Linked DNA regions of Oryctolagus cuniculus. Each later gene encodes a partner of the first gene's protein in a complex. Links are inferred from orthologs where the notes say so. Each region holds a gene or a part of one and is shown on either strand. Other genes may lie near its edges.

Region 1 (5,082 bases):
CCGTAGTGGCCATTAGGGGAGTGAACCAATGGAAGGAAGACCTTTCTCGCTGTCTCTTCCTCTCACTCACTGTAACTCTACCTGTCAAATAATTTAAAAAAAAAAAGAATCTGTGTGTTTTGATAGTGTATAAGTAGTATAGAGAAGCTTCAAAATATGAACAGAGAAAATTTATTGTGTTATAAAAATTAAAAAATTATTAAAATCAAGTGAACTTTTTTTTTTAAGGTATATTTACTCATACATTTGAAAGGCAGAGCAACATAGGGTAGAGGTGATATGGGATCTTCCATCCATTGATTCGTTCCCCACATGGCTGGTGTTAGGAGCCTGAAACTCAGCTTGGGTCTCCCATGTATGTGGCAGGGTCGCAAGCACTTATGCCAAGGCCATCCTCTGCTGCCTCCCAGGCACAGTAGCAGGGAGCTGGATTGCAAGCAGAGCAGATGGGACCTGAACTGGCACTGCATCTTAGAATGCTGGTGTTGCAGGCGGCAGCCTAACCTGCTGCGCTGCTACAGCAGCCCCTGGTGGACTCTCTGGTATGTAATCAGATGGCCATTTGACAGGCTTGAACATTCCTATTATTGATGGGAATGGGCTGTGCATCCTGATAACATTTTTTTCTAGGTTTCGGAGATGAGATAGCAAAGGAATAGTCTAGCCATCTGATGTCTTATTTTTAATAGGATCATAAATTCTGACAATTTCATCTTAAACCAAGTTTGCCTCTTAAGCTGCATTAAATATAATTCAGTGTATCTTTGTTAATGTCATTTCATACTAAATATTGTTTTATGGTTTTGTCTGTAGGCTAAAGAAATCCTGACAAAAGAATCCAACGTGCAAGAGGTTCGATGTCCAGTTACTGTCTGTGGAGATGTGCATGGGCAATTTCACGATCTCATGGAACTGTTTAGAATTGGTGGCAAATCACCAGACACAAATTACTTGTTTATGGGAGATTATGTTGACAGAGGATATTACTCCGTTGAAACAGTTACACTGCTTGTAGCTCTTAAGGTAATTTCAGCTTATGTTTGATTATTTTGAACTGGGTAAGACAGTTCTCTCTTTTTTTTTTTTTTTTTTTTTGACAGGCAGAGTGGACAGTGAGAGAGAGAGACAGAGAGAGAAAGGTCTTCCTTTGCCGCTGGTTCACCCTCCAATGGCCGCCGCTGCAGCCGGCGCACCGCGCTGATCCTGGCAGGAGCCAGGAGCCAGGTGCTTTTCCTGGTCTCCCATGGGGTGCAGGGCCCAAGCACCTGGGCCATCCTCCACTGCACTCCCTGGCCATAGCAGAGAGCTGGCCTGGAAGAGGGGCAACCGGGACAGAATCCGGTGCCCCAACCGGGACTAGAACCCGGTGTGCCGGCGCCGCAAGGTGGAGGATTAGCCTATTGAGCCACGGCGCCGGCTCAAGACAGTTCTCTTGATTGTTGTTTCCTAGTAATTATTTTTTTCCTCTTAACTAAATGTTACATTTTAGAACAAAATTCTCTTGAGAAATGCAAATTATTCAGGTTTTACGTTTATAGGATTCTGCATTCCAAGCATAGGGTTGGGACAGAATGAAAAAGTGGGGAGAAGATAATGCCTTAGATTGTTTGAACAGTCTTAGAGGGCTAGCCAAATAGAAATGTATTCAGTAGATTCAGGTATGGAAAGGTAGTTGTTACCTTCCTAGTTAGTTTCAAAATATTGTAAAGGTACAAATGGATCAAATGTTAGAATGTTTATATCCTCTGACAGAAATCCTGTAATTAGAATGGTGCTGAGGAAGAAATAGAAGAGGAAAAGATTTTTGTGTAAATAAATTGTAGTATTTAATACCAGAAAAAGAAAGTACTCATCTAAATATCCACAAATTAGGGTTTATTGAGGTAGAATAGTTTGTGGCTGTTAAACATGACATAATGTAGATAGTGGAAATGGTAATTGAAGAAGGGAAGTTGCAAAATCATTTGAGTATCAGATGCAGCTTTGCAAAGTCCACAGTTGACAGGAGGCAGATGAAGCAAAGCTGAAAATAAGCTCTGAAGGTGGCCGGTTTCAGCTTTTCCCAAAAGAAACTGACTTGCCCTTCAGGGGGAATTTTTTCTTTTTCTGGGATTCAGTCTCATTAAAGAGTAGAAAGAATGATAAAATGTCTGCCATAGACTTTTCTAACATTAAAGAAGCAGTGCGTTGTGCTTTCAGCAAGGGCTGATTATGGGTAATTAGTATTGAACTCATGGAAATGTTAGGTACATTTCTGGAGGCCATTGTGTTCTGCCTCTATAAATGAAGACATGAGACTGGGCGGTGGAAGATTGTGTGAGAGCAGTGTGCAGCTAGCTGTGCTGTAGACCCAGGCTGAATCCCAGGAGAAGAGTGAATGTGCCACCTTTTAAGAATTGATGCAAGTGGGTGTAACAGGCTGAATTGTGTCCTCTCGGAATTCATACTTTGAATTCCCAACCTATAATACCTCAGAATGTGACTGTTGGAGCTGAGACCTTTACAGAGGTGATTGAGGTAAAATGGGGTCATGTGACTGGACCTTACTCCCATATGAGTGGTGTTCTTGTAAGAGATAGGACACAGGGAAGAAAATGAGAAGACAAATAGAGCCGATGCCCTTCTGTAAAGCAGACACAGAGGTCTGCAGAGAAACCCAACTGTGCTGACGCCAGGTTTCTGTTGCTTAAGCTGCTCCTCTGTTATGGCGCGGTGTTACAGCAGCTAGAGCAGACAGGAGTGGGGGAAGGATTGTCCTTTCAGCCGGTAGTGCTGAGACAGATGGATAAAAGTGAATTACAGACCTGAATATGAGAATTATGGCTGTAAGATTTCTAGGTTAAAACATAGAAAATCTTCCTGGTCTTGAGAGATTTCTTAGATATTAACAAAAGGAAATCAATTTAAAAAAAAAGAAAAACCAGACCTCATAAAAAAGTAAGGTTTTTTGTTCAGAAAATATTACTAAGAACAAAAATATGTATTTGAGATTTTTTTTTCCAAAAATCCTTAATACAACAGATATTTTATAAAAGACAAATACTTGAATAGATTTCACCCCAGCAGATACATGACTGGTAAGTACATGAAAACAAAAACACAACGTCATTAGTCAACAGGAAAATGCAAATTCAAGTCACAATGAGATACCATTTTGCATGGCTCAGGTACCGAGTATTTGTGAGTATGTGGAGAGATTAGCATCCTGGTTCATTGCTTGTGAGAATGTGAAAGGGTCTAGTCACTTTGAATGATTGTCAACAGGTGAAGCATAACTTACTATAAGCAAATTATATTCTGGAAATCTGTCTAAGAGAAATGAAAGCGTATGTCTTCAAAAACTGTACACAGGTGATCGTGGCAAAAATTCAAAATAGCCTAAAGAAAGGAAAGAAGCTACTCAACAGTGCCTCCTACCCATGAATACAGAATATGCCGTATAACGGTACTGTGAAAGACTGCAGCTGCACAGAGGAACAAACCACTGATCTATACTGCAGCACGGATAAGCCTTGAACATATTCTGAGTGGTGTTTAGTGCAGAAGCTATGTGTTTTTGTTTTTGTTTTTTTTTGTGTGTGTTTTTTTGTTTTTTTTTTTGTTTTTTTTTGCATTATTCTGTTTCTTATGGAGTTTGTAGAAAAGGCAGTCTCAGATAAATCATTGGATGGTAGGAGCATGGGAGTAGGGAGTGAGTGTAGACAGACAGGAGGGACTCTTATTGGGGGAATGGAATGATTAAAACTGGGTTTCAGAAAGTTTCCTGAATGTTCCTTTGGTGTTTGAAAGCTGTTTCATGGTTTCCATTCTGTTGTTGTAGGTTCGTTACCGTGAACGCATCACCATTCTTCGAGGAAATCATGAGAGCAGACAGATCACACAGGTTTATGGTTTCTATGATGAATGTTTAAGAAAATATGGAAACGCAAATGTTTGGAAATATTTTACAGATCTTTTTGACTATCTTCCTCTCACTGCCTTGGTGGATGGGCAGGTATATGTCTCAAACCTTTTTTTTTTTTTTTTTTTTTTTTTTTTTTTTTTTTTGTAAAGATTTATTTATTTGAAAGGCAGAGTTAGAGGAAAATATCTTGTATTGGCTGGGTCGTTCCTCAGATGGCCACAGTGGCAGTGACTGGGCCAGGTCGAAGCTAGAAGCAGAAGCCAGCTCAGAAGAGTTACTTGGACCATCTTCCCCAGGTGTTAAGTAGAGAGAAATCTTCCATCTGCTGTATCACTATCTAAATGCCCACAATACCTGGGGCTGTGTCAGGCCAAAACCATGAACTGGAAATACCATTCAGGTCTCCCACATGAGTAGAAGGGATCCAAGTACTTGAGCCATCATCCGTTTCCTTTCCAGGGTGTGTGTTAACAGAAAGCTGGATCGCAATCAGTCTCTGTCTCTCTCTCTTTCTCTCTCTTTCTCTCTCCCCCTCCCCCCCTCCCCCCCTCATGCAGGCTTCCCGGTTGCTGTGTTAATCTGCTATTCAGCCTGCCTGCCTGTAAAAGCTGTTTTTGAAGGAGTTAATTGAGATGGTTTATCAGGAAGAAAGGGAGTGTACTCAGTAGTTGAGAATGGCCTGGGGCAAAGATGGACTCTGCAGGTTGAAACTTATTCAGATGGAGCACAGAAACACCTGTGGGGCCAAGTAGTCAGGGCTGCAGCCCGCAGCTTAATCCAGAAGAATGTTTTAGGTGACATTAACATTTGAAACCACTCTTTTTCAGATCTTCTGTCTGCACGGGGGCCTCTCACCATCTATAGATACACTGGATCACATCAGAGCACTTGACCGCTTACAAGAAGTTCCCCATGAGGTATGGCTGTGTTTGATAAACTTTTCAGAAAGCTTCTTAGTTTTCTGAGTTGTGAGCACTCGGATCAATCCATTTGTTCAGAAGAGGGTTTTGTGAAGAAACCTGCCAAGATCACAGCAGCTGTGACACTGAGCTTAGGAGGACCTGGCTCTTCCGTCTTCACAGCCTCTGCTTTAATCACAGTCTTTGCTGCCTGACACTGAAGTTTGCATATAACAGGCGCATTCATTAGTTAGGGCATGTTGGTTGATTTTTGGGAAG
Region 2 (5,082 bases), on another chromosome or scaffold:
CCCTCGACTCTTCCTGTCTCCCGTGGTACTGGCAGCAGGCAGCTCTGCTGTTTCCTTTGTAGAGACCGGGGGTAGGCAGGGACTCAGGGCCAGCTGCTGCTGCTATGCGCGAGCAGACGCGCTGGGGAGGAAGTGGGCCCGGGCTCTGTGACGTGATTTTGAGCAGGGTGCCGTGAACAAGGGCACGTGTTCTGGCATCTCTTCTTGCTTGCGTCCCGTAGGTGGTGAGAAATCTTCATTGTGAAAATGAAAATTCCTGCCTTTTGTGAACACTGAGAAGTACACGTGGAAAAGGCAGAAATGTGTTTCTTGAAAAAAACTCGTGGACAGACGACTCTGGGAGATGTCAGTTCAGGGGAGCAGAGTGTGCATATGCGGTCTCAGTCCAAGGAGAGATCTCACCTAGGGTTTGGGGTGCTTCCCGGCGGGTGGCGGCCCCAGACAGTTTGTCTCTCTCTGAGCAGCTAATAGGAAGTCAGACGAGGAAAAGCCAGCACCAGCTCTTTCAGCTGGGTCCTGAGGGGAGAAAGCCGGGAGCCCCAGGCTCCTCCTGGGTGTGTCCATGCCAGTGATCCATGGTATCAGGAGAGGCATCAAAGTCTGGGGATTGTGGTGTAGACCAGGGTGGGCCTGACAGAGGTGAGCCAGGAAGGAGTGCCTGGCGTGAGGCAGACTGTAGTGTAGGCAGTTGGGGGCGGGTCCCGGCTCCCCCCCAACACTGGGCCCCACAAAATCCTTCTGGGAGTCACTCGAGGATTCCTGAGACACAGGGAAGGCTCGTCATGTCTGTCCAGGAAATGGGCATGTGTCAGTCCCAGCGCTGCCCGAGGTAGAGCCGTCTACATTTTCATGCCTTTTGGTCTAAAGCACACTGCCCTCCTTACGACTTGCTGATGAACTCCATGAGGCCGTGTCCTGGGTCAGTGAAGGCGAGTGCTCTGGGCTGGCGGGCTGGCTGGCTGGCTGGCTGTCGGGTCCGCAGGTGCCACGTGGAGCACCCGCGTTCTGGCAGGCTCGCCCCGCCTCGCCTGTCGGCCGCAGTGCTGTTCCGCAGCCGGCTCTTGGGGTCCCTGTAGCAGCTTGTCCTGTTGACAGCAGTGCCTGTTTAAGTGCAGGTGTTCGGTGTTGCCTCTGCTGCCCGCACTGTCTGTTCCCTCACCGTCTCAGTGACAGTGTGTCTGCCTCTCTCGTCAGTTAGAGCCTGGCCCTTTGGACGAGACTCAGATCGCCACCATCCTGAGAGAGATCCTCAAAGGACTCGATTACCTGCACTCGGAGAAGAAGATCCACAGAGACATTAAAGGTGAGCACTGCGGGGCGGGGCTCCCTCCTGGGCTCCGACGGGCAGCGGAGCACTGCGGGGCGGGGCTCCCTCCTGGGCTCTGATGGACAGTGGAGTACTGCGGGGCGGGGCTCCCTCCTGAGCTCAGGTGGGCAGTGTGGTCCGTGACGGCTGTCGCGACACATGGTCCAGCTGGGGAGAGGATGTGCGTGTCTCCTCGGTGCCGTTACAGCCATCACACCTCCTGGGTTCCTTCGCAGCGGCCAATGTCCTGCTGTCCGAACACGGGGCGGTGAAGCTGGCTGATTTCGGAGTGGCGGGCCAGCTGACAGACACCCAGATCAAAAGGAACACCTTTGTGGGCACCCCCTTCTGGATGGCGCCTGAGGTCATTAAGCAGTCAGCCTACGACTCGAAGGTAAGGGCGGGCTCCAGGCAGGTGCCTGGGCTGGGCTTCCCCCTCCTGTGCCCACAGCTGCTGTGGTCAGACTGAGGCTGGCGCCTTGAAATAGGTCGTAAAAGAGGTTCTCCGACCCTGGCTGTGCCCCGTGCCTTCTGCCTCCTGCGTGCACGAGCCCCCGGCACACGCACTGTGGGTCTGAGGGTGTGGGGACACCTGACGGAGCGTGTGCCGGTGGAGGCAGGGGGACTGCGGTGCGAGGATGGGCGCGGCCTGCCTAGGAGATGCCCCGCGCAGGGCCCCGGAGGCGTGGTCTGCAGAGGGCACAGGTGGGCTTGAAGGCCGAGAGGCGTGGGCGTGGGCCAGGCCTTGGACAAGACTGATGTTTGAGGCCCCTGCATACAGGAGCCGGCGGGGGGACAGGGCGGCTGCAGGCCCTGTCCCGGAGCTGCAGAGCTGAGCCTTTGTGCTGGCTGCAGCTCCCAGCACTGAGGACTGGCCGTCCTTGCGGCATCCTGGTTCCCCGAGGCTCCCACTTGTCCGCGCTCTCACTCTCCCCGTTTCTCCTGCATTCCTTCTCCCTTTGGGAAGCCTTTTAGGGTGGACTGAAAACCCTGGGTGCTCCTTGCTGCCTGGGTCTCTGATGTAACGTCATTTCCCACCATCTGCTCCTGTGAGCGGCCTGTGCACAGTGAAAATCCTGCGTGAGCCACGGAATTGACTTTTCTGAGGCAGGAGTTTCTAGCAATGTTTAACTCAGATAGGTTTACAGGCCAGACACTGTTTCTCTTATTGTTTTTAGTTTAGCATCTTATCTGGGGCTCTGTGTATATTTACACACACAAACAACCCTCCCCCCCCCCCATTCGCCCCCATGGATTTATTCCCCAAATGCCTGCAGCAGCCAGGGCTGGGCCACACTGCAGCCAGGAGCCCAGAACTCCATGCAGATCTCTCATGTGGGTGGCAGGGCCCCAAGGACTTGAGCCATCACTGCTGCCTCCCAGGGTGCGCATTAGCAGGAGGCTGGACTAGGGAGCAGAGCCAGGACTCAGGCCCGGGCCCTCAGATGCTGGAGGCAGGTGGCCCAGGCGGCATGGTGACTGCCACGCCGAACACTCACTCCGCTTCTCCCTTTGAAACAGAAATGCTCTCAGTGTTTACTAGCTGGGCCAGCTTGCTAGCACGGTGCACAGTGCCTGGGTGACGCTCCTGTGGCCTTGCACTTGCCGTCGGCTCTCACAGGGTGTTGACGTTGTGGTTGAGGTCCTGATTCCTGTGGGGGAGGGGAAGGGTGGCTCTGGCTGTCTCTTTGTTGGGATTGTGGTCGTGGCTGGTGGGCTTTTGTCCCCTGGCAGAGCGCACATGTTGTGGGCGTTGTGTTTGTGGGTGTCTGGCCCCAGCTGTTGGGTTACCTCCGTGGTTAACCTCATCTCCACAGCACCTCTGCCATCGGCCTGTTTCCTGGGGTCATGTGATTCTGGGACCTGGCGAGAACTTAGGTCCGTGATGCATTCTCTTTGTTTTAAGCTGAAGCCCACTCATCTGATTGCAGCAGGGCTTAGACTAGACCCCAGGGTCCTAGTGCACCCACCAGGATTATCGCCCTCTTACTCTTGGTCTCAGATCAGCCGGGGTAGCTTGGCACACCACAGGTTTCAGTCTGTCAGCCACTGCCTGTGTGTCTGCTCCATGCAGGGCCTCTCTGAGTACCTGAAAACCCAGCCAGCCTGCTTCCCAGAGCCCTTGGCGACGTCGGAATGCTGCTGTCCCCCTGTGCATGTTCTCAAGGGGAGCGCACACTTGGGTGGGGAGCAGGTGACCTGAGAAACCCTGTCCCGGTCTCTGTCAGCCATGTCAAGAGCCAAATCTTCTGCTGTTTCTGTCGTACTCGGCAACCCTCCCTGGAAGTCGCTTCGCAGCAGCGTTTCAGCCAAGGCCGGCCGGAGGGGGCTTTCGTGGGCTGGGCCGGCTTGCTGCACTGCAGTGCAGGGCCGCTCTGGCTCCTGGCACACAGAGCCGCTTCTCTGTGGGTGCTTCCTCCTCCTGAGCCCGCGCCAGGTGGAGAACCTCACCCGGGGTGGCCGGGCTGCACTGGGAACGTGAAGAGTGTGCGTCCTGGGTGCATGCACCATCCCTGCCTTGCCGGTGTCTGTCTGTCTGTCTCGCTCCTTCTCCCCCCACCCCTGAAGGGACGGGGCTTGCAGACCGGCATTGTTTGTAGGCGTCTGGAACCTTATTTACCATTACAGCCTCTTTTATTTTATTTATTTTTTTGACAGGCTGAGTTGCCAGTGAGAGAGAGAGAGAGAGAGAGAGAGAGAAAGGTCTTCCTTTTGCCGTTGGTTCACCCTCCAATGGCCGCTGTGGCCGGCGCACTGCGCTGATCTGATGGCAGGAGCCAGGTGCTTCTCCTGGTCTCCCATGGGGTGCAGGGTCCAAGCACTTGGGCCATCCTCCACTGCACTCCCTGGCCACAGGAGAGAGCTGGCCTGGAAGAGGAGCAACCGGGACAGAATCCGGCGCCTCGACCGTGACTAGAACCCGGTGTGCCAACGCCGCAGGTGGAGGATTAGCCTAGTGAGCCGTAGCGCTGGCCTATCACTGCCTCTTGAACAGTGTTTCTCACCCCTTGTCACCTGGGCTGCTCGGCTGTCCTGAATGGTTCATGTGCACAGGGCTTCTGACGGGAGTCTATGTTCTTTGTCTGAAAACAGCATTGCCAGGCGCTCACTGCCCAGGCGTCTCAGGAACCTTGGTGCTTGTTAGTATTTCTAGGGTGAGTTAGGGAGGTGGTGCCCAGGGGGTACCTGTGCTCTCCCCTGAAGGAGCTTTTGGTTTTGCTAGAGCAGGGGCTTGGGCTGGAGAACGGGAGTCTCTTTGTGAGACTATTGTGATGCTTTGTTAGCAAGGGGATTGGGCCTGAGTAAAGACATTGCCCGTTTCATGTCCCTTTGTCCGGACTTACTCATGGGCTGCTGAGTGCTGTGTCCTCTGTCCTCTGTGGGGTGCTGAGTACTATGCCTTCTGCGTGGTGCTGACTACTGTGCCCCTCTGGGGTGCTGAGTACTGTACCCTCTGCAGGGTGCTGAGTACTGTGCCTTCTGTGGGGTACTGAGTACTGTGCTCTGTGCAGTCCTGGATACTGTGCCCTCTGCGGGGTGCTGAGTACTGTGTCCTCTGTGGGGTACTGAGTACTGTGCCCCTCTGCAGGGTGCTGAGTGGTGAGCCCCTCAGTGTGGTGCTGAGTGCTGTGTCCCTTGGCATGGTGTTGAGTACTGTGCCCTCTGTGGGGTGCTGAGTACTGTGTCCTCTGTGCAGTCCTGGGTACTGTGCCCCTCTGCAGGGTGCTGAGTGGTGAGCCCCTCAACGTGGTGCTGAGTGCTGTGTCCCTTGGCAT
Region 3 (3,902 bases), on another chromosome or scaffold:
CCAGGTTCTGCAGCCAGAGCTCCCTGCAGCCCTCCTGCAGGGGGAGGCCGGCCGCCTGAGCGCTCCCTCGCCTGTGGCCCTGCAGACCCCAGCGTCCTGAGCCACGTCCTGGAGGGCCACGGGGACGCCGTGTGGGGCCTGGCCTTCAGCCCCGCCTCGCAGCGCCTGGCCTCCTGCTCCGCCGACGGCACCGTCCGCGTCTGGGACCCCAGCGGCAGCCCGGCCTGCCTGTGCACCTTCCCTGCAGCCAGCGGTGAGCGGGGGCCCCTGGCCGGGCGGGCGCTGCTCCCGGGCGCGGCCTGTCGGCAGCCTTTACCCTCTGCCCCCAGGGCACGACGTCCCCACCTCTGTGGCCTTCACCAGCACCGAGCCCGCGCACATCGTGGCCGCCTTCCGCTCAGGGGACACCGTGCTGTACGACCTGGAGACGGGCAGCGCCCTCCTCACGCTGGAGTCCCGGGGGAGCAGCGGTAAGGGCGGCGGCGTGGGTCTGGGCCCAGCTGCCTGGCACTGCAGATGGCTGCCCCGTGCCCTCGGGTTCAGGGCAGGAAGGAAGTGAGGCCCGTGGAGGGGCCCGCCTGGGGCTCTGGGGTGCCCGCCTGCCAGATGGACCGAGGCGCGAGAGAGTGGGCAGCCCCCGGGTTCTTCTCGCTCCTCTGGTCTCCCCAGTTCTCCCTTCCACACCTCCCCTCTTCACCCCTTTTCTTCACAGGCCCAACCCAGATCAACCAGGTGGTGAGCCACCCCAGCCAGCCCCTCTCCATCACCGCCCATGACGACAGGGGCATCCGCTTCCTGGACAATCGCACAGGTGAGGGCCCCAGCCCCCAGTGCAGGGAGAGGGCGTTCTGGGGCCCACGTGGGCGCATCTTCTCCAGGGCCTGCCTCCCCCCCCGCCGTCTCCCCCCAGGTAAATCCGTGCACTCCATGGTCGCCCACCTGGATGCTGTCACCTGCCTTGCCGTGGACCCCAATGGCGTCTTCCTCATGTCAGGGAGTAAGTTGGGACCTCCAGTCCAGGGTTGGGGAAGAGCAGAGGAACACGCGGGCAGCCCCGCGCCTGGACCCGCCAGAGGCACTTGGCCTGTCGTGGCCGCTGGTGCTTATGCCCTGTCACAGACACGGGGACGGCGGTCCAGGCCTGGCTGGCGGAACCCCACGCAGGCCTGAGCGCCGGGGCCACCCCGCTCTCCACATCCGGCAGCGGCTTGGAAGGGGGCGAGGACTTGATCCAGGGGAGCGGGGCTTGGGGAAGGGGCTTTGTCAGGCAGGGGCTAGCCGAGTGGCTGAAGCAGGCGGTCTCTCGCTGCTGGGGTCGTCACGGAGAGCCCGGCCTCGGAGGGCGGCTGTGCGGACGGTCAGCGGCACCCAGCGTGGGGCATGGAAGACAGCACAGGGCCCCATCCCCGCGGGGAGGGCGTGTCCTCAGAGCTGTGGTGACCCCGCGGAGGGGGCCAAGCCTGCCCGTGTGTGCAGAAGGATGGCTCTCGTCTGGGTGGGCGTTGGGAGGTGATGGAGCAGGGGGCTGGGGGCGGTGGGTCGAGGCCCTGCCACGTCCGAGGCCCGCAGACAGGCCAGGTGTGGGCTCAGAGCTCCTTGCCCGCGCAGGCCATGACTGCTCCCTGCGCCTGTGGAGCCTGGACAACAAGACGTGCGTGCAGGAGATCACGGCCCACCGCAAGAAGCACGAGGAGGCCATCCATGCCGTGGCCTGCCACCCCAGCAAGGCCCTCATTGCCAGCGCCGGCGCCGACGCCCTGGCCAAGGTCTTCGTATGATGCCCACTGGCCCCGCCCTGGCTGCTGCGCTGGCTGGAGAGGGGCCGGGCCGGGGGGGCCCAGGTGAGGGGCTGGGGCCCTCTGCGCTCTGGACGGGGAGGCAGAAACCCCACCCCTGCCCGCACGTGGCCCGGACATCTCGCTGGCACTGCCTGCTTGGCCCGAGTGCCCGGTGCTGGAACTGCTGAGGTGACCCCACCGTGGGCACGGGCACTGGAGGCTGCGCTGCAGTGTCGTCCCCGCCTCCCCCGTCTCCTGCAGGTGACTCCGCCTCGTGCCGAGGCTCAGAGGCCTGCGTGGAGCCCGGTGGTGCTAACGGCCCTTTCCCCGGGAGCCCCTCCCCTCGGCTCTCCTGCCCCACACCCCAGCCTGGGCTGGCCCCTCAAGGACGGCCGCTGGGGTCTTCCTCCCTGTCCCACACCCACTGCCTTCCTGAAGGCAGCGTAGCCGGGTGTGGGGTGGGTGGTCCTTGGGGATGTTTTTCCAAGATGCCAGAAGGTGCCAGGCTCTCTCTCCTCTGGGGCCCCGCCCTGCCCGCCACCCCCCCACCCTGGCTGGGAGCCACACTGGGAGAATCCCCGAGCCCCCCTCCCCTGCTTTCCAGACACTAACCCAGGCCTCCAGGGCCTGAGCTGCCTGGGGGAGGGGCCCCCGCCCACCCTGTATATCTGTACAAATAACCGGGATTGTAATGGCGTCCGCCCCATGTTATCACTGTGTGATAGTCAGCTCCCCCCCCCCCCCCCCCCGCCACTCTTCTCTATTTATTTCACTCTTCTTTCGGGTCTGCCCTGTGCCCTCCGTCCCCACTTCGGTTCCTGTTTATAAGGCCCTCCCCCTGCCCCTGAACTTGGATGTGAAAACTTGTCTCAATAAACCCTTTGGAGTAAGGTGGGTGACCGAGCGGTCTTTTGGGGTCTGGCTGGGCGGAGTTGGGGGGGAAGGATACTGTGGTTGGGGTTTTGTGGCAGAGTGGCGAGGGGGACAGGAGGGCCCTAGGGCGGAAGTGGGGGCACAGGACCGCATCTCCTGCTGCCCCTCCTTGCTGTCCCCAGGGGCAGAGCCCTGACCAGCAGGTGTGCCCTGCCCCACCTGGGCACGTGGGGTGGGCGGCGGTGAGGCCGTGGGACCGGTGAGTCGGGGGCCGGCTGGGCAGACCTCGCGTCACCTCTTCCTCCTGGCACTTCGCTGTGTTCTGAGGCAGGTTGGAGATGAGCCCTGGGGGTGGGCGGCTCGGGGTCCCCAGCCAGCCCCTGCCCTGAGCCCTCCTCTGCCTGCCTCACTCCCGCTGCCTGCTGGGGGTGCAGGGCACGGGCGGTGGGTTCCCCGTGGGGGTCAGCTGCACGCCAGGGCGGGGGCGCCACGTGGCCTGGCTGCCGCGTGCCAGGCTCCAGGCCGCTCCCCCAGGTGCTGGTTTGGGTTTTCGCTCCAGCCTCAGACTTCCTTCCTTCCTCAGCCCCAGCCCCGGATGTGGTGACAGAACCGGCACCGTGCCGGCTTCAGCTGCCCCCTAGAGCCCTGTGCCGAGGGCGGGGGGCTCCTCTGTGCCCCAGCTGCCCCGCTGGCCGCGAGCCAGGCCCAGGGGTGGCCTCTCCCTCAGGATGCCTGTGCCACTCAACCCTGGGCCCGGCCCTGCCCAGGGGGGCGGCTTGGACAACCTGCAGCTTCCTGTGTGTAGGCTGAGCGCTCCGGGCTACTTGGTCACAGAAGTCAGTTGGAATTGTTCGGAAAGGGGCCGGGGGCCTCCGCAGATGCTGGCCCCTGAACGCCCGGTGGTCCCAGGTGCCCAGCGCTTCCTCTGGAAATCACGAGTGACAGCCACACCGACCCCCAGGGGCCCCCTCTTACAGACCCATCTACCAGGTGCCCCCCAGCTAAAGCCCCCGAGAACACAGCTCTCCAAGTAGGGTGGCCGTGTCGTCCTCCCTCAGGCCCCAGGGCTGTGGCGCTCCCGTGTGCGGGGCAGGGGGTGCTGATGGATGGAAACCCCCCCCCCCAACCTGTCCCCTCAGCTCCGTGCTCTTTGCCCAGCGTCGCTGGGAGCTGGACGGGGGCGTGGCGGGAGCGGGCGCAGGAGCTGAGCCCTGGGACTTGCCACCCCGTTTCCGACCCCTTCCCCTGCGG
Region 4 (5,082 bases), on another chromosome or scaffold:
TGGCGTGAGCCTAGAGCAGCACCCTGCGGGCCCAGCACCCATGACTGGTGCTCTGCTCCGGGGAGGAGGCGCTGAGCCCGCCCAGCCCTGGCTGCCCTCACCTGGGAGCTGGCCATGTTTTCTGGACTTGGTGAGAAGTGGGCACTGAGACACTGTCATGGGGGTGGTGCCCCTCCTGGTGCGGAGACTCGGCTGGGCTTGCCTTGGGGCCGCCGCCCGCAGTGCTGGCATCCCACGTGGGTGCCAGTTGGAGTCCTGGCTGCTCCACTTCGTATCCAGCTCCCTGCTATGGCCTGGGAAAGCAGTGGAGGATGGCGCAAGGGCTTGGAGACCGGAAGATGCTCCTGGCTTCCGGGTTTGGCCTGGCCCAGCACTGGCCGTTGTGGGCATTTGGGGAGTGAAGCTGCAGATCTCTGTCTCTCTCTAACTCTGCCTTTCAAATAAATAAAAATAAATCTTAAAAAAAAAAAAGGAAAATTCTGTCTTGATGACACTCAGGGCCTTAACCCCACTCCCACCTCTACAGGTTCCCCTGTGGGGCAGCAAGCCACTAGGATCCTGGGGTATGGGGGCTGCCCTTCACCCTCGGCCGGCCGTGTTTCTGAGGTTGGTCAGCGCTTGGTGGCTGGAGCATGGTGTTCTCAGGAGCCCAGGGTCTCTGGGCAGTGGCTGGGGGACACCCAGAGTGACCCTGGCCGTGGGAGGTGCTGTGATGATGCTCCTGGGGTGGCCCAGGCTCAAACTTAAGAGGGTGGTTTATGCCGAGGACCCCTCTGCCAGCCTCTGCGACCTGGGCTGCAGACCTGGCGCCTCCCCCACCAGAGCCTGGTGACCCTGACGTCTTGCCTGCTTAAACCCGAGGACCATGTGGTCAGCGTCTGTGGAGTTGGAGTACCTGGACTCAGGCTTCTGAGAAAGGCCAGTGCTGGACTCTGCTGGTGTGACCCTGGTTCCGGGGTGGGGAAGTCCTCCAGGGGCTGTGGCTGTGATGTAGGGTCTCATCACCACAGGTTGGGTTCTGTTGTTCTTAATAGATTGTATGAATATGTTTTTAGATCTATGAGTTTATTTGAAAGGCAGGGTTACAGAGAGAGGGGGAGAAACGGGGGTCTTCCGTCCTCTGGTTCACTCCCCAGATGGCTGCCATGCCTGGGGCTGGGCTAGGCTGAAGCCAGGAGGTGGAGCTCCATCCAGATCTCTTTCGGGGTGGCAGAGGCCCAAGCACTTGGGTCATCTTCCGCTGCTTTTCCAGGCACGTTGGCAGGGAGCTAGATCGGAATTGGAGTAGTCAGGACGGGAACCCGTGTTCATAGGGGATGCTGGCGTCACAGGCGATGGCTTAACCCGCTGCACCACAGAGCCAGGCCTTAGGTGGCATTTTGTAGGAATGGTTTTGGGGTGATAGAGTCCCTGCATCCCTGCCTGCCTCCTGGGGGTGCTGACCTGCTGGTATCTTGCACAGCTGTGGACATGGTCCCAGGTGCTCTGTGTCTTTCCCTGAGGAGCTGCTGCCTTACAAGGAGAGGGAATTGTAGTTTTCTGAACAAAAAAGGTAAAAGATAAAACCAGAAAAGGACTGCCCCGTGCCTGCTGCAGGTCCCTGAGGTGTGTCCCCCGGGGAGCCTCTGCCTGTCCAGCCCCTGACCGGCGTTGCCCACCCTGTCCCTTGGGCCCTGCAGCACCCCCGCGTGGACCCCGAGGAGCTGTTCACCAAGCTGGACCGCATCGGCAAGGGCTCGTTCGGGGAGGTGTACAAGGGCATCGACAACCACACCAAGGAGGTGGTGGCCATCAAGATCATCGACCTGGAGGAGGCGGAGGACGAGATCGAGGACATCCAGCAGGAGATCACCGTGCTCAGCCAGTGCGACAGCCCCTACATCACCCGCTACTTCGGCTCCTACCTGAAGGTGGCTGGGGGGCTTGGCGCCTGCCTGGAGCACTGGCCGTGTCTGCCAAGTGCTCCACGGGGTGCGCTGCCAGGGGAGCCAGGAGGCTGCTGGGGGCTTTTCCTGTTGGGGTTCCTCGGGGGGACAGCCCTGGCTGGCTCCTCCCCACTTGCGACTGGGAGGGGTCTGTGGACTCCACACCTGGGCCTGCTTCCCGGCCACAGCCAAGAGCTAATGGGTTTCTTTTCTTTATTTTTTAAGGCAGAAATCTTCTATCTGCTGGTTCACTCCCCAAGTGGCTACAGTGCCTGGGGCTGGCCTGGGCTGGGCCATGCCAAAGCCGGGAGCTCGGAGCTTTCTCTGGGTCTCCCACAAAGATGTGGGGGCCATCTTCTGCTGCTTGTCCGGCTGTGTTAGCAGGGAGCTGGGTTGGAAGTGGAGCAGCTGGCTGCACTTGAACTGGTTGCTCATGCGGGGTGCTGGCATTGCAGGCAGTGGCTTAACCTCCACTCCACAGTGCTGGTCCCAAGAGCTAATGGCTTTCTCTGTGTTCCAGAGCACCAAGCTCTGGATTATCATGGAGTACCTTGGTGGTGGCTCCGCACTGGACCTGGTAAGGTGTGGGCCCCAATAGTGGGCGGCTTGCTGTGGGGGGTGTCACAGCTCCCGTGGGCCTCCTCTCGGTGTTTTAATGGATTTGGTGTTCGGAGGGATCCTGGTCCCTGTCGAGGAGGGTGGCAGTGCGCCCAAGTGGGTGGTCCAGCTGGGCCCCGTCCCCTGCCAGGCTTTCAGTGAAGGTACAAGCAGGCTCGCCTGCCCTGGAGGGACCTGGAGCCTCAGATGTGCACAGGGCACCCCTCTTGGAGGGGCTGGAATCGAGGCCCCGGCCTTGTGGGGGTGGGGGAGCCGAGGCCCTGCTGTCCCGTCTTCCCGTGCAGCTGAAGCCCGGCCCCCTGGAAGAGACCTCCATCGCCACGATCCTGCGGGAGATCCTGAAGGGCTTGGACTACCTGCACTCGGAGCGCAAGATCCACCGGGACATCAAAGGTCCTGTGGGGGCCGGGCTGTGGGCATGCTGCCACGGGCCTGGGTGTGGGGGCCCTGTGGTCCTGCTGCCGTGGGGGGTGGGGGGTGGGGGCCGGGCTGTGGGCGTGCTGCCACGGGCCTGGGTGTGGGGGCCCTGTGGTCCTGCTGCCGTGGGGGGTGGGGGGTGGGGGTCGTGCTGTGGGCGTGCTGCCACGGGCCTGGGTGTGGGGGCCCTGTGGTCCTGCTGCCGTGGGGGGTGGGGGGTGGGGGTCGTGCTGTGGGCGTGCTGCCACGGGCCTGGGTGTGGGGGCCCTGTGGTCCTGCTGCCGTGGGGGGTGGGGGCCGGGCTGTGGCCATCTGGGGGCTCCATTTCCAGGAAGTGCTGTCAGTGGTGCAGCTCAGAGGGTTTGTGGGACCCCACCGTGTGGCCCCCTCCTCACTGTATGCGTGAGGCTGCACCTGCCATGGGAAGGACTTGTCCAGGCTGTGAGGATGCAGCCAGCCAAGCAAGGGGCTTCCTGGCCAGCTTGGGTCAGGTTCAGGATCAGGGTCAGCTCTGCAGGAGCCTGTGGGGTGCTGCTCTGGTGGCACATTGGGTAAGCCAGTACAGAGAGGGCCCTAGAGCTTAGGCTGGGCAGTTCAGGGTCGGCTTGCTGGGCTCTTGCTGGTCATGCCCTGGAGCCCATGTTGGCATGGGTTTGAGTGTGCCAAGGAGAGCTTAGGTACCTGGGAGGGGGTCCCTGGGTCAGGCAGCCACACGCAGGACTGCCTGGGGGCACTGGGAGCTGAGGCTGACGCGCCCCTGTCCTGTGTCGAGCAGCCGCCAACGTGCTGCTGTCTGAGCAGGGCGACGTGAAACTGGCGGACTTTGGGGTGGCCGGGCAGCTCACGGACACGCAGATCAAGAGGAACACGTTTGTGGGCACGCCCTTCTGGATGGCGCCCGAGGTCATCAAACAGTCTGCCTATGACTTCAAGGTGGGTGACAGCGGCCAGGGCTGTGGGTGCCGTGGCCTCCTCGGGGTGCCGCACGCAGCAGTGGTCCTTTTGGCACCCTGTGCAGGCCGACATCTGGTCCTTGGGAATCACAGCCATCGAACTTGCCAAGGGGGAGCCCCCGAACTCCGACCTGCACCCCATGCGAGTCCTGTTCCTGATCCCCAAGAACAACCCACCCACGCTGGAGGGTGCCCACAGCAAGCCCTTCAAGGAGTTCGTGGAGGCCTGCCTCAACAAGGACCCCCGCTTCGTAAGGCCCGCCTCACCCCCTGACCCAGGCAGGCTGTGGCCTGCGCAGCTCCCAGAATGGGGGGGTGTTCACCCAGGGGGCAGCAGGATTCAGAGGTGACTCCCAGCCTCGGTGCCCATCCTGTCGTGTGCGTGGCCTCCCTGGGGCAGCGCCCAGCCTGTCACGTGTGTGGCCTCCCCGGGGCAGCGCCCAGCCTGTCACGTGTGTGGCCTCCCCAGGGCAGCGCCCAGCCTGTCACGTGTGTGGCCTCCCCAGGGTAGCGCCCAGCCTGTCACATGTGTGGCCTCCCCAGGGCAGCGCCCAGCCTGTCACGTGTGTGGCTTCCCCGGGGCAGCGCCCAGCCTGTCGTGTGCGTGGCCTCCCCAGGGCAGCGCCCAGCCTGTCACGTGTGTGGCCTCCCCGGGGCAGCACCCAGCCTGTCACGTGTGTGGCCTCCCCAGGGCAGCGCCCAGCCTGTCACGTGTGTGGCCTCCCCAGGGTAGCGCCCAGCCTGTCACATGTGTGGCCTCCCCAGGGCAGCGCCCAGCCTGTCACGTGTGTGGCCTCCCCAGGGCAGCGCCCAGCCTGTCACATGTGTGGCCTCCCCAGGGCAGCACCCAGCCTGTCACATGTGTGGCCTCCCTGGGGCAGCGCCCAGCCTGTCGTGTGCGTGGCCTCCCCAGGGCAGCGCCCAGCCTGTCACGTGTGTGGCCTCCCCAGGGCAGCGCCCAGCCTGTCACGTGTGTGGCCTCCCCAGGGTAGCGCCCAGCCTGTCACATGTGTGGCCTCCCCGGGGCAGCGCCCAGCCTGTCACGTGTGTGGCCTCCCCAGGGCAGCGCCCAGCCTGTCACATGTGTGGCCTCCCCAGGGCAGCGCCCAGCCTGTCACGTGTGTGGCCTCCCCAGGGTAGCGCCCAGCCTGTCACATGTGTGGCCTCCC
Region 5 (5,082 bases), on another chromosome or scaffold:
TGCCAGACTCCTCTGAGTAGTATGAGGACAGTCCTCTGAGGTTGCTGACATCTCCTGGGGCCCCTCCACCACAGGAAGTCGTACTCCACCCTCTCTTCTCAGCCCCATCCCCAACCCCCACCCCTCCCCCATCCAGCACTAACCCGTCCTCCCACAGCTGTGCTGCTGCCTCCTCGGCCACCAGCAGTCTGTACTCGGCGGCTGCGAAACGGTCCCAGTCTGACAGCTCAGGGCCATCACCGTCCTGCAGGAGGCATGCAGTCAGCAGTGGTAATCAGCAGTCATTGGTCAGTAGAGGTCAGCAGTCAATGGTTAGCAGCAGTCAAGTAGGGGCCATCAGCAATTGGTTGGCAGCGGTCATTGGTGAGTAGTAGTAGTCAGCATTGGTTAGTGGACAGCAGTGGTCAGCGGTCAGCAGAGGTCATCAGTCATCAGATTTACAAAAGCAGTGAGGAAGATCCTTCTGCCATCATGCCTGGCCAAAGTGATGGGCAGATAGGAAGTGTTGTTGATGTCATAATATAGATAATGTCATGATGACATCAAGATGCCAATATGCTACTAGTGATGCCTCTAGTTCCAATAACATCAAACTATTACATGATGTCATGATGACATCAACATTTAGGCAGCTTAGCACATCAGCTCTGAGCTGCAAGCACATAGTTCTCCTGGGCATCATCTTAATTCACATGGAAAATACAAAAAAATGACAGAATCTAGCCATGACCATTACTTTCCTGATATTCCAGGAAATATTAAATAAAAACGATTAGGGGTGGGACCAAGCATTACCCCCTCAGCTGAAGTCCTCATGGCCACCTCCGAGGTCAGCTTTGTAAGAGAGACCAGGAGGAAGAAGACCGAGAAAAATTCATGCCAGTTAATGGGTGATTGACAAGGTCATCGGCCATCATGGTGACCCCAAAAGGCCAGCCCATCCCCCAGTGGCTCCTGTTTCCATGCCCTGGTTGAGGGCTAGGGGGTCAAAGGGTTCCTGGGTCATAGAAGACCCTGTTGGCCCCAGGCTTAAAAAACAATTCACTGGCTCCGCCCAGCTTCCCAGGGAGCCATGGGTATGAGGGGACTGCCGAGGGTTGGAGACATGGCAAGCAAAGCCAGAAATTTAGACTTAAGGAGCCGCCTGCTCAGACCCCCTCTGCTGCCAGGCAGCGGGGTGATAGAGGCCAACGGAGCTTCTTTCCTCAGGAAGTTCCCACCTCCCTGTGTCAGTGGTGTCTGTGGTCAGTAGCAGTCAGTTGTCAGCAGGGGTCAGCAGGCAGCCTCACCCCGGGCAGGGCCAACTGCTCGTGCTGTTCACGGTCCAGGTACTTGTCCACGTTGAAGAAGGTGTCAAAGAAAATGGGCGCCAGCAGCCGGCACCGCTTCAGATCGCCCAGCGTGATGCGGCCTATGGGGGTGGATGCAAGGGCATGGATGTGGGGTTGGACACCAGGGCCAGGGCCAGGGCCAGACGTGGGGGATGTACATGTGGACCCAGAGAGGCCTCAGAGAAATCAGAGTAAACGATGCAGGCAGGTGCTGGGCAGCAGGGGCACAGGAGGCCTGGATGCTGGGATGGACGTGGTGGAGGGGGATAACCCAGACGCCTTGGCCATGGCCAGAGGGGACTGCAGGACCACTCGCCAGCAACGCCCTCCAGACCCTGTGGGCAAACAGCTGGGACCTGGTAAGTGGATCTCAGCCACTGAGGACCCTGGAGATGGGGAGGGGGCAGGGCCAGCAAGGGAAGGGACCTCCATGGTGGGGGCTGGGAAGGGAAGGGGCGGGTCTCTACCCTGGGTCCTTGGCCGAACCAGGTCCAGCATCTGGCAGAGGCAGTCTGGGAAGGGCAGTGGTTCGACGTCCAGGCTGCGTAGTCGGCGGCTCTGCTCCTCATAGAAGAACTCAAGCTCAAAGGCAGACAGTGCCCCGTCCCCATCTAGGTCCATACAGCGGAACCAGTACTCGATGCTGCCCAGTTGGGTAGGTGGCAGTCAGTAGGGGAATAAACTATGTTGACCCCAGAGTGACCACTGACCACACTAGGGACACAGTCCCCACCCAGGTCCATTCAGAACTAGTACTCAATGCTGCCTTGTCAAGGGAGATGGCAGTCAGCCGCTGACCACACTAACCGTGGAGTGATCCCTGACCATGCTGCTGACCACACTGACAGCAATGTGACCACTGATCACCCAAAAGATTCTGCTCACTGATCCCCTGAGCTGACCAAGTGGGCACTGCTGACCATACTAACCCCAAAGTTACCACTGGCCACACCATGGACACTGCTGACTTCACAGAACCCAAGCTGACCACTTTCCTGACCCAGACCACACCCTGGGCCGAGGAGTGAGCCCATGGTGTCCAGCGTCATCCACTATCCGCCTGCAAGGGGGGCCCTCAGACCCACCTGGTGGGCGTGGTCTTGTCCTCCTCGGAGAGCAGGAACCACACAAAGTCCTCGTAGCTCATCTTCCCTGCTCTCTGTGCCGTCCTGTCCCTGTGGTCAGCAGTAGCCAGCAGACACACAGGCAGGTTCAGCATGGGCCACTCCCAGCTGGGGGTATCCCTGTCCAGCCCCACATGGGGAACCCAAGGAGTCCTGTGCTGGCCCTGAGTCCCCCTCCAGTGCTGTCCACACTGCCCCAATCTGGTGTGATGAATACCTGTGATGCCATCATCTGTGATGTCATCACCCATGTCATCCCTCAACACGATGGCATCACCTCTACTCCCCCGCCGGGGACCCCACCTACCGCATGACAGCACCTGAAAATATCCTGTCAATCATCTTGTCGGAGATGGCTGTGGAAGAAGAGGCAGGGCCTGTGAGCCATGCAGAGGGCAGGGCAGGAGGCTGGGGTCGGCATGGGGGGGGTCCCTGGGAAGGGGTCTTGGGGTCCCTGGGGTCCCCGACCGTGGTCGCGGTGCCGGGCCAGGTCACAGTTGCCCAGCAGGAGGTCGCAGTCAGTGTCAAGCTCACGGAAGGTACAGTAGATGACATAGACGTGCTCATAGCAGAAGAGCCCGCTTGTCAGGCTCAGGTCCGCCTCCTCCTCCAGCCGCGCCACAACCTGCGGGGAGCGGGGCTTCAGGATGGGAACGAGGTGGGGCTCAGGACCTCAGGTTGTGGAGGGTGGGTTTTCCTGCTGGGTGGGGAACTAGGGTCTCCTGTCCTAAGGGTGGAATCTTCTTTGGGGGTAGGGTCTCCTGTCCTGGGAGCAGGGACTCCTTTCCCAGGAGGCGGGGTCTCCCATCATGGTAGGTGGTTCCCACTTCCCCCACCTGCAGGAAGTGGCTCCTCCTGAGTTCATTGTAGCTGATGCGCCCGGACCAGGACCTGTTGACAGCGTAGAAGATCCGCTGGATGACCTGCGGGGCAGATGGGGTGGGGCTGGGGCTAGCAGGGGGCGGGACCAGCAGTGGCGTGTTGGCAGTGGCTGGCAGACATCCTCACCTGTGCTCACCTGAGTGTCCTCTCATCTGTCCTCACCTGAGGGCATCCTCTCACCTGAGTCCAGGGCAGCAGTGAGCAGATGGCCCGAGAGACCTGCCCCCATAAGGGGCGGAGCCACAGGGGAGGGAGGAGCTGTCACAGGGGAGGGAGGGAGGAGCTGCCACTCACAGAGGGCGGGAGGAGCCGCCACTCACAAGGAGCTGCCACTCACAGGGTGACTCTGACCAGCACAGTCGAACTTATACCCAGGTGTATTCCTCTTACTGCCCAGGACGGGGACCCAGGCAGGGTCAGGGGTCACTGCAAGGTCAGGGGTTACAGGCAGGGTTTGGGTATCACACTGGGTTTGGGGTCAGGGGTACTCACAGTGGTGATGTAGCAGGAGTGGAACTCAGGTGCCTCCTTGAGGAAGGCGAGGCCAGGGTGTGATTCTACCACATCCTGGGACACAGGAAGTGAGTGACAGGTGTGAGGTGTGTGACACGTGTGAGGTGAAGACATCCCTGTGACAGGTGTGAGGTGCGAACTCCCCTCTGACAGGTGTGACTTGATTGACAAGTATGCGGTATAACCTGTGACTGACAGCTGTGACTGAAAGGTATGAGGTTTGTGATTGATAGGTGTGACGTGTGTACCTCCCACTGGGGGAGGGGCAGGGTGCTCACCTGCAAGAAGGGGACGAAATCCTCCTGTTCCAAGAAGTCGCACCCAGGACTAGCGAGCAGGTGCAGGAACCTGGCCTCCTCATCGTGGCAGTCCTGGAGGATTCTGGAAGCATCAGCATCGTTCGGAGCCCCGTCCCCAGGAGGTGGGAGTGGGGCCTGGGTCCCCTCTGCCAATCACATGTGGGAGGCAGAGCCAGGGTCTCCTCTGGCTACTGCAGCTGGGGAGGCAGGGCCTGCCCAGGACTCCCCCTGGAGGAAGCCCTGCCCTGCCCCACCCCCCTTACACTCTCCTGCCCAGCAGGTGTAGGATCCCCAAGGCCCGCCCCCTGTCCTGCTTACCCTGCATGCCTGGGACTCACCTGCGCCACATGGCCACGAAGGTATGCACAGACACGGATCCCCCGCGGCGGCCCCCAGCCCGGTAGAATAAGGGTCCCTTCCAGTACAAAGGGCAGCCACAGGCCTGGAACACCACCAGGCAGTTACTGAGATTGCCAATGAGGGTGACAGACAGCAACGACTGGAAGGGCCTGGTCACAGGGAATGATCAGACTGTGCCACTCACAGCGACAGACAACAGCGAAAGGAAGGAACCAGATACCAGGGAGAAGAAGGATCCAGACACAGGGAGGGCAGAGGCTGTGTCACTCATGCTGTCAGACAGCAGAGATGTGAAGGAAGGGCCCGGCAACAGAGAGGGCACAGGCAATGCCACTCTGGTCAGCAGTGACAAAAGCGACCCAGCCACAGGGAGGGCACAGGCTGTCCCATCCCCAGGCCAGCACCCACCTTGGTCACATCCAGGTCTCGCAGGCCCCGCCCTTGGCCTCCAGCCCAATCTCCAGCACCACAAGCCCAGCCCCCGCCCCATCCCTGGCACCAACCTTGGCCACATTGCCCATGTCCTCCAGGCGGGCGCGCTGCAGTGGGAGCAGGGCAAACGCAGTCTCCACG

What was found.
Region 2: PPP2CA (region 1) and STK24 share a complex: the UniProt entries of both Homo sapiens proteins name them as parts of the core of STRIPAK complex. The link is inferred for Oryctolagus cuniculus from reciprocal best matches to the Homo sapiens genes PPP2CA and STK24.
Region 3: PPP2CA (region 1) and STRN4 share a complex: the UniProt entries of both Homo sapiens proteins name them as parts of the core of STRIPAK complex. The link is inferred for Oryctolagus cuniculus from reciprocal best matches to the Homo sapiens genes PPP2CA and STRN4.
Region 4: PPP2CA (region 1) and STK25 share a complex: the UniProt entries of both Homo sapiens proteins name them as parts of the core of STRIPAK complex. The link is inferred for Oryctolagus cuniculus from reciprocal best matches to the Homo sapiens genes PPP2CA and STK25.
Region 5: the proteins of PPP2CA (region 1) and serine/threonine-protein phosphatase 2A regulatory subunit B'' subunit beta are in contact, whole or in part, in a crystal structure (PDB 4I5L), measured with the Homo sapiens proteins. The link is inferred for Oryctolagus cuniculus from reciprocal best matches to the Homo sapiens genes PPP2CA and PPP2R3B. Residues at the interface, in NP_002706.1 of Homo sapiens: Cys20, His63, Tyr91, Tyr92, Arg135, Lys136, Tyr267, Arg268, Arg294, Arg295, Gly296; in NP_037371.2 of Homo sapiens: Met410, Leu432, Asp436, Cys439, Gln440, Met441, Leu442, Asp443, Leu444, Lys446, Glu450, Gly451, Lys462, Leu463.

What each region holds. Positions count from the first base shown.
Region 1 is NC_091437.1:22,496,892-22,501,973, reverse strand, and holds part of PPP2CA (serine/threonine-protein phosphatase 2A catalytic subunit alpha isoform), read left to right. Parts: intron 1-813; coding exon 814-1,023; intron 1,024-3,820; coding exon 3,821-3,994; intron 3,995-4,731; coding exon 4,732-4,821; intron 4,822-5,082. UniProt on the Homo sapiens protein: Catalytic subunit of protein phosphatase 2A (PP2A), a serine/threonine phosphatase involved in the regulation of a wide variety of enzymes, signal transduction pathways, and cellular events.
Region 2 is NC_091440.1:14,073,599-14,078,680, forward strand, and holds part of STK24 (serine/threonine-protein kinase 24), read left to right. Parts: intron 1-1,194; coding exon 1,195-1,303; intron 1,304-1,542; coding exon 1,543-1,700; intron 1,701-5,082. UniProt on the Homo sapiens protein: Serine/threonine-protein kinase that acts on both serine and threonine residues and promotes apoptosis in response to stress stimuli and caspase activation.
Region 3 is NC_091449.1:10,663,129-10,667,030, forward strand, and holds the end of STRN4 (striatin-4), read left to right. Parts: intron 1-85; coding exon 86-253; intron 254-329; coding exon 330-470; intron 471-712; coding exon 713-811; intron 812-910; coding exon 911-997; intron 998-1,608; coding exon 1,609-1,778; 3' UTR 1,779-2,672; downstream 2,673-3,902. UniProt on the Homo sapiens protein: Calmodulin-binding scaffolding protein which is the center of the striatin-interacting phosphatase and kinase (STRIPAK) complexes.
Region 4 is NC_091434.1:282,531-287,612, forward strand, and holds part of STK25 (serine/threonine-protein kinase 25), read left to right. Parts: intron 1-1,679; coding exon 1,680-1,910; intron 1,911-2,445; coding exon 2,446-2,502; intron 2,503-2,827; coding exon 2,828-2,936; intron 2,937-3,735; coding exon 3,736-3,893; intron 3,894-3,978; coding exon 3,979-4,164; intron 4,165-5,082. UniProt on the Homo sapiens protein: Oxidant stress-activated serine/threonine kinase that may play a role in the response to environmental stress.
Region 5 is NC_091447.1:3,608,888-3,613,969, reverse strand, and holds part of serine/threonine-protein phosphatase 2A regulatory subunit B'' subunit beta, read right to left. Parts: coding exon 5,013-5,082; intron 4,592-5,012; coding exon 4,488-4,591; exon of another isoform or gene 4,232-4,487; coding exon 4,129-4,231; exon of another isoform or gene 3,905-4,128; coding exon 3,830-3,904; exon of another isoform or gene 3,596-3,829; coding exon 3,474-3,595; exon of another isoform or gene 3,379-3,473; coding exon of another isoform or gene 3,347-3,378; coding exon 3,292-3,346; exon of another isoform or gene 3,081-3,291; coding exon 2,924-3,080; exon of another isoform or gene 2,812-2,923; coding exon 2,763-2,811; exon of another isoform or gene 2,507-2,762; coding exon 2,417-2,506; exon of another isoform or gene 1,975-2,416; coding exon 1,799-1,974; exon of another isoform or gene 1,412-1,798; coding exon 1,290-1,411; exon of another isoform or gene 245-1,289; coding exon 144-244; exon of another isoform or gene 1-143. UniProt on the Homo sapiens protein: The B regulatory subunit might modulate substrate selectivity and catalytic activity, and might also direct the localization of the catalytic enzyme to a particular subcellular compartment.